Saccharomyces cerevisiae S288C: one gene and its partners. Changing the gene in region 2 together with the main gene of any one other region gives a genetic interaction. Each region holds a gene or a part of one and is shown on either strand. Other genes may lie near its edges.

Region 1 (3,578 bases), on a different chromosome or scaffold from region 2:
ACTGGTGATACCATATCCATTGTAATAAACTTTAATGAAGACTGCCTCAATAATCGAAGTGACGTTACCGAAGAGAGAAATTATGAGGAATCCACAGTTTTACATTCAAAGGAGTCAGTTCTCAGCATTGGTAGGCAAAATATGGTAACTTTGAACCAAAGCGATGAAAATTTCACCTATGGCAATTTTGATGAGTACGACTTATTAACTAAAGATTATACAACAGAGGTCTTAACGCGATCACCTGGCTCGAATCCCGAGTTTAAAGCAGTGGTAAATAATACATTACTTGATAGCGCGAATGAAACGCCGTTTAAAGGTATTGAAAAAAGTATTAACGAAACAATGGTTAAAGTTCCTATGGGATGCGATGTATCTCTCTCCCATTATGGCAGACAATACGCGCCTGGAAATATTTCAATTATGAGAAGCTTCACTGCTCGAGATAATACTAAATCTGTGAGTAGAGAAATTCGTGATATCTGTAAATCGTTTTTGATTATAAAAAGCCAATTTGGTGACGAACTTTTCCTGACTATGTTCATGGAAAAACCAGTTTTCTTTGATAACAACATCCCAATTGAAATAACTGGAGCATACCGAGAAAAACGAGAGCGATTAGATGAAGTGATTCATAAGGATCTTATCCGCTATGATGAAGTTCAAAATTTGACAAGGATTCGCAATTTGCTCCGGGTTAAAAGTCAAAAGATTTGTTCCAGGAGACATAATAGTTCGGTTCCCACAAAAAAATTGTTAGTTAATGATAAAGGCGCAACTTCGATTCTACTGTGGTACTCTAACTATTCATAGATAAAGTTTATTTGATACATAATCCGGAAAATGTAAGATATGCCAACTGTTAACTAGAAAACATCTGTACTCTATATATCGGAAACAAAAACTTTACGGGTACAACCATGATGAATAAGCTCGAAATTTTTGCCTTCCATATGAGTCCCATTTTGGTGACCAACTCTCCTACCCGAATTACTGTGATGATATATACTCTTCGTTTTCTAGTAATGGCTTCATTTTGCCTAAGTTGGTCAAAATTGTTGTGGGCGGCTTTTGTTTGCACCGAGGAGCGCTCAGTTCGTTATAATACCAGTTTTGCCACTCCTAAACTACTAAAGAAATAATAGAAAGATATATTCATCAAACATAATCACAATCAAAAAAATGTCTACATATGAAGGTATGTAATGATATATTATGAAGTAAGTTCCCCAAAGCCAATTAACTAACCGAATTTTAATCTGCACTCATCATTAGATTAGAGGAACATGGAATACAACAAAACTCAAGGGATTACCAAGAAGTAGGAGGAACTTCACAGGAGGAGCAGAGAAGACAGGTCAGATCCCAACTGCAAGGTCTATTTCAAAACTTTGGTAACACCAGTGGTGAGGGTGATGCACATTCAGATTCAACACTACTTTTACGATTATTATCGCAAATGCTTCCAGAATCATTACAGGAAGAATGGTTGCAAGAAATGGATAAAGGCAAGAGTGCGGGCTGTCCTGATACTTTTGCAGCCTCTTTACCACGAATCAATAAAAAAAAGCTCAAAGCAACTGACAACTGCTCCATTTGTTACACTAATTATTTAGAAGATGAGTACCCCTTAGTAGTTGAATTACCTCATTGCCATCATAAGTTCGACTTAGAGTGTTTGTCTGTCTGGCTATCTCGAAGTACAACATGTCCATTATGCAGAGATAATGTTATGGGCCACCGAATCATTAATGAGATTGATACAACTGAAGCAGAACTGGAAGAAGATTGGGGTATGTACGGTTAATATCTTTCTTTTATATTATATAAAGACACCAAACCTAAGTAGAATAGGTAACTACGTCTTCTTTCACAGAAGACAGACCTACAAGTATTTTGATTATCATGATGAAGTAAAAGCAACGATAAACTTTTTACTAGGTATTATTATTCTGCGCTAACAATAATTATCGCGAGTTGAAAATTTTCAAGCGATGCTCCTAACATTACTGTAAAACAACAGTAGATGAGTACAAGGCAAGCTTAAAAAGAAAGTATTCAAGATGGGTAAGAGCAGCAAAGATAAAAGAGATTTGTACTATAGAAAAGCAAAAGAGCAGGGCTATAGGGCTAGATCTGCTTTCAAACTACTTCAACTCAATGACCAATTTCATTTCCTGGATGATCCAAACTTAAAAAGAGTTGTAGATTTGTGTGCAGCACCAGGTTCATGGTCACAAGTGCTCTCGAGAAAACTGTTTGATGAAAGTCCCAGTTCAGATAAGGAGGACAGGAAAATTGTCTCTGTCGATTTACAACCGATGTCCCCCATACCTCATGTGACAACGTTGCAAGCCGATATCACTCATCCTAAAACATTGGCGAGGATTCTAAAACTGTTTGGCAACGAAAAGGCCGATTTTGTTTGTAGTGATGGTGCACCTGATGTTACTGGGTTACACGATCTTGACGAATACGTGCAACAACAGTTAATTATGAGTGCGCTGCAACTTACTGCATGCATTCTGAAAAAAGGTGGAACTTTTGTGGCAAAGATCTTCAGAGGTCGTGATATAGATATGCTATATTCCCAATTGGGCTATCTATTCGATAAAATCGTTTGCGCAAAGCCAAGATCATCAAGAGGTACATCTCTGGAAGCTTTTATTGTTTGTTTAGGCTATAACCCACCATCCAATTGGACACCAAAATTAGATGTAAATACATCCGTTGATGAATTTTTTCAAGGCTGTTTTTTGAATAAATTGTGTATATCAGACAAATTGTCTCATTGGAATGAAGAGGAGAGAAACATAGCCGAATTTATGGCTTGTGGAAGTCTTCAAAGTTTCGACTCAGATGCCACTTATCATGACCTACCTTCTTCGGTTGCAGGCACTTCATCGTCCTTAGATCCTGTTCAAAGCCCGACGAACCCTCCCTACAAGAAAGCTTTGGAATTAAAAAGGAGCGGGAAACTCACTAGATCAGTTTGATTGCAATATTACTACCTCTAATCAAACAATTAAATAAGTCACTACATTATAAGATTATCTACAAAATCAACTTTTCCTTGCAATCATTAAAAACGATATAGGTTACGGTTATGTAGAATATCCATTGTATAATATAAAAGAAAATGAAACAGTAATTATATTATATTATATTACATGCAAGCATTGAGGAGTATGGCAATCATTTTTCTTCTTTTTTACTTCACCTCGTCTCTTAAAACATCTGCTTTCGAATTTGCGAGTAATAGAACTTTCGAATTGTGACAGAACCATTGAGAACATGGTGAATCTGTCAATATTACAACCCAAAAGCCGGTTGGTGGTAAACCGTAGTACGGAGCATTACAAAGGATTCCATCGTATAAATTATGCATAAGCATCACCTTGATCCATTTGCCTTGCTCCTATTGCCCTGCTTGTTTGTAGGAAAGCCCCTTTTGGTCAAACGAATTGTTCAGTTCGGGTTTACGCATTACATATCTCCTTTTTAGATACAAAAACCTCGAAACGCTCACATAAACCCGGTTGTTCTTTTGAGTACCTGGCCAATGGAGACATAGCTTG
Region 2 (4,270 bases):
GCTTCCACTAATTTAGATGACTATTTCTCATCATTTGCGTCATCTTCTAACACCGTATATGATAATATACTAGTAACGTAAATACTAGTTAGTAGATGATAGTTGATTTTTATTCCAACAAGACGATAGTGGATTTTTATTCCAACAAGTTGCATGTGTGTTTTATTAACGTTTAGATGTGTGTCATAATACTGCATCATACTATCTAATAATATTCAAATTACTTGTAAATTGAGGCAACTTGGCCGAGTGGTTAAGGCGAAAGATTAGAAATCTTTTGGGCTTTGCCCGCGCAGGTTCGAGTCCTGCAGTTGTCGTTTTTACCAAAAATTTTCCTCAATCTTTTTAATTTTACTTTAATAGTACCAGAATGACAATGCGATAAAAAAGAATAATTTGAAAGGGCACAAAAATGGCAAATAGTGCTTGGATCGTGAACTCTAGTCTTTTTTATACCTACGGCTGCCCTTCTGCCTGCAGCATACATTAACTATCAAAGAATTCGGTTGGTCGATGAGCCATAAATCGATGAGAAAAAGTATGCTTTAGTGTTACACGATATTTTACGGACAAACAGAAGGTTTCGATATCGAGGTAACCGCATCACGACTTATCGCATTTCGGAAGTTGCAGCGCACTTTGTAACTGATGGCGAAGAGCAAAGACTATGTGAGTTATTATACTTGCGAAGGAGTTTCACATATATTGTATATTAGCTATTTTCATAACAACAGTCATAATCCTCCGTTCTGCAGTCGTTCAATAAAAAATACGGCTTTCCCCCCTCTTTATTCGTACAGAAAACTTTACGCTCTGGCTTCTTCTGCTCATTTAGCAGACCTTCAGTTCTGACGCACGGCTGATTATCAATGATTGTCAAAGTAGCTGTCGCGACCATGTTCAAGATTTTTTAGAAAGAAAACATAGAGTCAATAAACCTAGAAATAGAACATATCATATGCATATCATACCAATCTTCATGCCAGGTGCACATAAGCAGTATTTTAAGGGGGCTATTTGACGGAGTACCTGAATTGTAACATATAATCTTAGTAGACTAAATTGAAAACATGTAAAAATAACAAAAAAATAAAATAGAGAATACACTGTATACTGAATAAGCAGATTATAGTTAAAATCTAACTAGATAGAAATAAAAAAATGCCAAATAATGTTAGATAAAGCAGAGGTTGAAAGAAAAAAATTATATACAGTCAACTAAGTACATCAACTTTGCTGTGGCAGGAACACAAGTATCATATTTTGTACGTCTCTATGTTCAGTATTTGTCGTTAACTAGTCTGTTGTCTATTATACCTAGTAAATCCTGAATATTTTAAGGTAGTGTCAAGTGATATGTTGACTGTCAGTCCTGGATATACCATATATAACGATATCGATAATGATACAACTCGTTCAGTTATAAGTTATTCATTGCCAATCGAATATGCATAATCTGGTTATGGAGGCCTAATTAAATCAAGTATCTCAAGATATAGAGATTCCCCAAGATCACCAGACAAAGTGAAAAAGGTCCTAAAACGATAATGTTAACCTGTGATACTACAAACAAATATCCAGTTTCGCCAATCCTATTATCCTCGGGTACATGTCTATTAATCATTTAATTTATAGATTTACTAAAAGCAGTTATGTCATAACGTGATTTTTACAATATTCACTTCGTAGTAGTGAAATATGCACATGAAATTGTATTGGGATACATTTCGATTCACTTTTTGACTGATAATCTGCACAATTAATGCCCAAATTTTATCATTATTTTCAAACCACTAAAACTACGTGAAATTGCCATTTAAAAATAATGTGTGCGTTTATTTTGAAACATCACAAGGTCAGGGACGCTGCAAAAATGTGTCCCTTTAATTCTATTTACGGACAGAGTTCAAGAAATAAGTCCCGCGAAAAAAGAAGAAAATAAACAATACAATGAAAAACGCAAATTCTCGAGAATACGTCGTCGCCTATATAAATTTGAAAACTCTTTTCCTTGGCTGAGATTTTAGCGCGTTCTATAGAATAGTCAATTGTAGACCGTTCGTTACTTGGGACGTCCTAATATGCCTTTGAAGTCGTTTTTTTTTTCAGCATTTCTAGTTTTATGCCTGTCTAAATTCACGCAAGGCGTTGGCACCACAGAGAAGGAAGAATCGTTATCGCCTTTGGAACTAAATATTTTACAAAACAAATTCGCCTCCTACTATGCAAACGACACTATCACCGTGAAAGGTATTACTATTGGCGGCTGGCTAGTAACAGAACCTTATATCACGCCATCATTATATCGTAATGCTACGTCACTGGCAAAACAGCAAAACTCTTCCAGCAATATCTCCATTGTCGACGAATTTACTCTTTGTAAAACCTTAGGATATAACACCTCTCTAACTTTATTGGATAATCACTTCAAAACTTGGATTACAGAGGATGATTTTGAACAAATCAAAACCAACGGTTTCAATTTAGTTAGGATCCCCATCGGATATTGGGCGTGGAAACAAAATACTGATAAAAACTTGTACATCGATAACATAACTTTCAATGATCCATACGTAAGTGATGGATTACAACTGAAATATTTAAATAATGCTCTCGAATGGGCGCAAAAGTACGAACTAAATGTATGGTTAGATCTACATGGTGCTCCTGGATCCCAGAATGGATTCGATAATTCCGGTGAAAGAATACTCTATGGCGATTTAGGCTGGTTAAGGTTGAATAATACTAAAGAACTGACTCTGGCTATTTGGAGAGATATGTTCCAGACATTTTTAAATAAAGGTGACAAAAGTCCTGTGGTGGGTATTCAAATCGTCAACGAACCGCTTGGTGGCAAAATCGATGTTTCAGACATAACGGAGATGTATTACGAAGCATTTGACTTGCTCAAGAAAAATCAGAATTCGAGTGACAACACTACGTTTGTTATTCATGACGGTTTTCAAGGAATCGGTCACTGGAACTTGGAGCTAAACCCAACCTACCAGAATGTATCGCATCATTATTTCAATTTGACTGGTGCAAATTACAGCTCTCAAGATATATTGGTCGACCATCATCATTATGAAGTGTTTACTGATGCGCAATTGGCCGAAACTCAGTTTGCACGTATTGAAAACATTATCAATTATGGGGACTCTATCCACAAAGAACTTTCTTTTCACCCAGCAGTAGTCGGAGAATGGTCAGGCGCTATTACTGATTGTGCAACCTGGCTAAATGGTGTTGGGGTGGGTGCACGTTACGATGGATCATACTACAATACAACGTTGTTTACCACCAACGACAAGCCAGTTGGAACATGTATATCCCAAAATAGCTTAGCTGATTGGACGCAAGATTACCGTGACCGTGTGAGACAATTCATTGAGGCACAGCTAGCCACTTATTCGTCAAAAACAACGGGATGGATTTTTTGGAATTGGAAGACCGAAGACGCCGTAGAATGGGATTATTTGAAGCTAAAAGAAGCTAACCTTTTCCCTTCCCCTTTCGACAACTACACGTACTTCAAAGCAGATGGATCTATCGAAGAAAAATTCTCATCCTCTTTATCAGCACAGGCATTTCCAAGAACAACGTCATCGGTTTTGTCCTCCACTACGACTTCCAGGAAGAGTAAGAATGCTGCAATTTCTAATAAACTAACAACTTCGCAGCTATTACCAATCAAAAATATGAGTTTGACCTGGAAAGCGAGCGTATGCGCACTCGCTATCACCATTGCCGCTCTTTGCGCTTCTCTTTAAAGTAAACGGCAACAGTGTGGTGCGTTTAATGGTGCTAATTATATATACACTTTTCATTATATTATTATAGATACTCAGAACGTAGGCACTATGTAGAAAAGCACCCAAAGTTCGAAATATCATATGATATACTTCTATGCATGTCGTAGAAAAAGACAACAATCTGAATTGCAACCTCAAAAAAAAAAATCTTAGTACTACATCATATTTGTGCCGTGGCCTAGCTGTATCGTGAGAGAAGGGAGAATAATATCAGAGAAGTGGGGTGAGCAAAGTATAACAACCACGATTATGAGTTCAAGTTCTTATAGGGATTCATATTTTCAATACCGCCATTTACCAGCACCACATCACATATTATATGCGGAATGGAATCAAGATATACTGGCGCTTCCGGACGAAGTGGCAAATATTACAATGGCTATGAAAGATAATACTCGCACCGACGCGGAGGAGGGAAGAGCTCCCCAAGATGGGGAAAGGAATTCTAATGTACGCGA
Region 3 (4,438 bases), on a different chromosome or scaffold from region 2:
ATTAAGAACAATATAATAACCGCTCTGGTAGCTACTGTACATATAATTTGACGGCATATATTGCTCATATATAAAACTACCGCATTACTTCCAGTTGATAGATTTTTAACTCAGTTTCAGTACTGCCAGAACTGCTCATTCGAGATTTTTTCTATTTTTAGAATAGGTAAAATTGCACTTAAATGTATAAGGGATGTACGAAGTGAGTGCCCAGACTGTTACTATGACAATTAAACTAATGTCGATGACCATTTGTTTCGACAACTCCATCTTCATTTTCTTCACGCGCCATACTCGGATGAGAAAGAATCTTTTCTCTAACTATACATTTCCAAACGCAATGATCAAGAAGAAAGCTAAATGTTACTTTGAGTTCAATTACTGAGACATGTCATGGGAATATGAGGAAGAAACAAATCTACGTGTATTATACTCCGTAACATGTAGAGTAAATACCATAGTTACCTATTTACCTGTGTCGATAAATGTTCATTAGCTCATAAGTGATGGGATACATTGCTATTCCTCTGCAATGGAAGCTTCGATATCTCCCTTGGGGTCGTTATGAGAGACGTCTTTAGGGGGGGTTTTGACAACAAACGGATCTACTTTCGTCGATTTGAACTTTCTTGCAGAAACTCCAAGTTTAAATAACTCATTTATTTCCACGAAAGTCTTTCCGGCAGTTTCTGGTAGGTCAACCACAGCCCAGATTAAAGTACAAAAGCATAAGACACCCCAGAAAAAGCCTGACTTAGCGCCCCAGTTCCACTTCTTAGAGTTCAGTTGGTATAAGATGAGAACGCTACATATGATACTGACCACATTATAAGTGTTACGTGCTAGAATGATTGTTTTCGTTCTTAGTCTTGAAGATGGCATTTCAGAGACTAGGCAAAAAACGACCGGGGCAATTCCTAAATTGTAAAAAAATGCTACAGCCATTAAAAGAGAACCACTTCCCATTTTGGAACCGTGCGTACTTGAGCACCCCAAACCGCCAATAATGAAAAAAACAATGGTTTGGAAGGCTAGTCCAAAAGCGTAAAGGTCATATCTACCAAAATACTTTGACGCCCACCAAGATAGAAATGTAGCACAAATACCGAGACAGTATTGAATAATACTAAAAGTGAAGGACATTTCAGTACTAACGCCAGCCTTTTCGTAAAAGTAAGTTGAATAACCTATTAGTATTGAACCACAAGTGGCTTGACCAGCCCAGCAGAGACAAGTAATTCTCGTTCTTCTTCGATTAATCTTGTCTTCAAAACAATCACTATAGGAGCCTTCTTTACTTGTGAGTCTCTTTTCCTTATCTATAGTCACTTTTATTTTGTCCACCTCCAGAGTTACTAGTATTTCTTTTTCAGGTCCCTTGCCGCTTAAAGTTCTTCTAAGTGATCTCCTTGCCTCATCAAACCTTCCTTTTTTAACTAGCCACCATGGAGATTCAGGTGCAAAAAAAATTCCCAGTGCTAAAGGAACTGGCAAAATCCACTGTAGGGCAAATGGTAGTTTATATCCTAATTCTGAATCCGCATATTTTTTTTGAGAATTTTTCATGATTCCAGCTGCAAAAAGTTGTCCAAATAACCAGCACAAGTTTGAATAGGTTGTAAGGTAATATCTCAGAGCCAATGGGCATATTTCAGAAGCGTAAGACACCGTCAAACACTGAAAACAACCCCATGGCATCCCGCACAATGCTTGTCCCACAGCAATCATGCCTAAACTATTGCAAAAGTACAGTATAAAAGTGAAGGCAGCTAAAAAAAACAATGCAATAATCAATGTGTAACGATTTCCAACAAGATCCACGGAGGGCCCCGTTAGCTGTAGCCCCACAATTTCACCTGCCATATAACATAAGGTCAGCCCGATTTGCCATGACGCTGAAATTTCCCATTCTCCAGTTTTGTCATTTTGTGAGCCAAACTTTCTCTGAAAAATAGGCAAGGCGTAGAAAGCTCCAAGAATAGCTGTGTCGTACCCTTCCATGATTAAAGTTGTAGAGACCAATAGTGACCAAGCTGCTGCCTTGGGATATGTATTCAATGCTGTCGCAAGTGGCATTCCTCTTTCACTTTCGTCTGCCTCCTTGGCATCCTCAGTAGCGTCAAATATCTCTGTTATTACTTTATTGCTATCGCTTGGCGCTCTTGTATCCGGACTGAACTCAACATGAACAATATCTAAGCCGTCCTTCTTAGTTTGATCATCCATTTCTATCCAGCTGGGTTCATGCGACTTAGCCTTTCCTGGGTATACATTCGAGTCACTTGTATTTTCCTTTCTTCTGTTTATGAGAAAAGATAAGTTTTTCATAGCTAGGTAATGGCTTTACAAGACCTGTATCTCTATTTGTGTTAGATTTTGTGATGGTAATCTTTGCATAATAATTCCAAGAACAGGCCTCTAAGAATTACAAACAACGATTACAGATGACCCCACCTTTTTTTTATATTCTATAGTCAACACTATCATGAACTTGTGGCATACTCATTGCATATGGCTGACAGGATGTCAAATGCTCCCTTCTACGAAAGATTCTGTGCACGTAAAACGCGGGGTGTGGAATGTCGCGATGACTCTCGAGCAGAGAAAAAGACAAACATATAACGAGCTGATTCCTCTCCAGAAGAACAAAGCCAACATTGATTCAAACTGAGGACTTAATATGATTGACTCTCTGGAAACTGCAACAGTGTGATTATAGATCAGAAATTCATGCTGTAATTTTAGTATATCGACCTGTCGCGATGTTGCAAGCGTGACAGATCTATACATATTTCGCTAAAACTGTCGGTAAAATACCAACACGCTGCACTGCAGACCACAGATTCGAACCGAAGCATATTTTCAGAAATTTACGAGAGGTCTTTATAGTCACCAAAATATCCAAATTGAGTAATTAGAAAGAAAAAAACACACATACTGTAGTCCACAACCTGTTTACGGACAGGTTCTGGCTGATGGGATAACCACTCTACCTGACTGCTCTCCTACTTCATATTTACCTCCCGAACAACGTGAAATCTTTTTGCTTGGAGAAAAACAAGTAAAAAGTATAAATGGAGATGAAAGATCCACCAATAAATTCCAGCTTGATTTTTCAACATATGATGACAAATGTGAGTGCTAAATCTAAGTCGTAAGACAAATAAGAACTTTTACCATAATCAGTATCCTGGGAAAAGTGGTAGAACTACAGTTTATCAAGCTTACCCACAAAGCATTAAATATGCTCCCACAATAACCTCTGGAGTGATATAACAGGTATGACTTTCAAGTTATAGTATATTAAAGATCTTGGAATTGGGCGGTTTAGGCTTGTTCATTTCAAAGCTCGAGTAAGATTTTAGTATACTTTTCCCTATAGAAATATTTCCGACATAGATTTTTTAATATAAGCACTTCTTCCATGACATTTTGTTTCAGTTATCTCTCTTTCGTCGCTACTTGAGAAAACTATATGGTTGTACGAAAAAGAAATGGCCAAAATATTCTTTGGGCCTTATTAATCTCATTACTATTGTAAGAGTTGGCCCTTAATTTTATAGAAACACTGTTTTAAGGCCAAAAAAAAAAGATGCCAAACATAGAAAGGAAATGTCGCTTTACTTGGCTAATTGGCTCTAAATCACAGGTCTTAATACTCGAAACGCCATTGATGTACTGTGCACAATTTCCATTCCGGGTTAATTATAAAGATATCAGCGTTTATTTTCATCCATGGCAATGAAAATTGTAAAATAATCATCATCAAAATTTGATATGGTTGCAATAGAGGGAATGATTTGATTTTTATGAGACTTATACGCATCACCCTGTATTTTTGCAATTACGGCGATTTATAAAACTTATAACGGAATTTAAGAGTTTCATCCTACCAAGCGTAATCATAGATATAAAAATTCTATTGTGCAACTCATATTTGTCATTGAAACAGGGACTTTTCTCCGAAGTTTAATATCTAGTATGAGCTATACACCTTAACCACTCCTTACTTGTAAAGGTACGAAAAAGTTGTCGTTTTAGCGCGCACTTACTGATGGATGCTGAATCAGTATAGTGTTTGACTGCGGCAGTAAACTACTCACAGTAGCAGGCACGTACTATGGAAGTTGTTTCGAGGCGCATGATAGGAAAAAGGGTACCAAAAAGGATTAGAAGAGAAAATTTTCATAATGGGAAGTCACTGACGAGGGTTGGTGGTTATCCGTTTTAAAAAAATATTATGCAATCAAGCTACAACATCCTGTAAATTTTGTAGTAGAAAACTTCTATTATAACGGTTTCTGAATTGGCATATAAAATAGTCAAAAGGTGATCTTTAAATCAACGGTAAAAACAGTGAAGCTGGTCCTGTTGTAGAATCGCCATTTCCTTTGTGGTGATAGGTCTTTAAGTAAAGTAATGGTGAATTTAGTTAATT

Evidence for each region.
Region 1: mutations in EXG2 (region 2) and TRM7 together harm fitness more than expected from each alone (negative genetic interaction), as found in Saccharomyces cerevisiae (one large-scale study listed by BioGRID).
Region 3: mutations in EXG2 (region 2) and MPH3 together harm fitness less than expected from each alone (positive genetic interaction), as found in Saccharomyces cerevisiae (one large-scale study listed by BioGRID).

Annotation. Positions count from the first base shown.
Region 1 is NC_001134.8:364,205-367,782, reverse strand, and holds TRM7 (tRNA methyltransferase TRM7), read left to right. Parts: upstream 1-2,063; coding exon 2,064-2,996; downstream 2,997-3,578. Other genes in the region: CNM1 (Cnm1p), read left to right, coding at 1-813; YBR062C (uncharacterized protein), read left to right, coding at 1,183-1,198, 1,281-1,807.
Region 2 is NC_001136.10:977,021-981,290, reverse strand, and holds EXG2 (glucan exo-1,3-beta-glucosidase), read left to right. Parts: upstream 1-2,081; coding exon 2,082-3,770; downstream 3,771-4,270. Other genes in the region: SWM1 (Swm1p), read left to right, coding at 4,062-4,270.
Region 3 is NC_001142.9:737,489-741,926, forward strand, and holds MPH3 (alpha-glucoside permease), read right to left. Parts: upstream 2,329-4,438; coding exon 520-2,328; downstream 1-519. UniProt on the Saccharomyces cerevisiae protein: High-affinity uptake of maltose and maltotriose. Also transports alpha-methylglucoside, glucose and turanose but not melezitose or trehalose.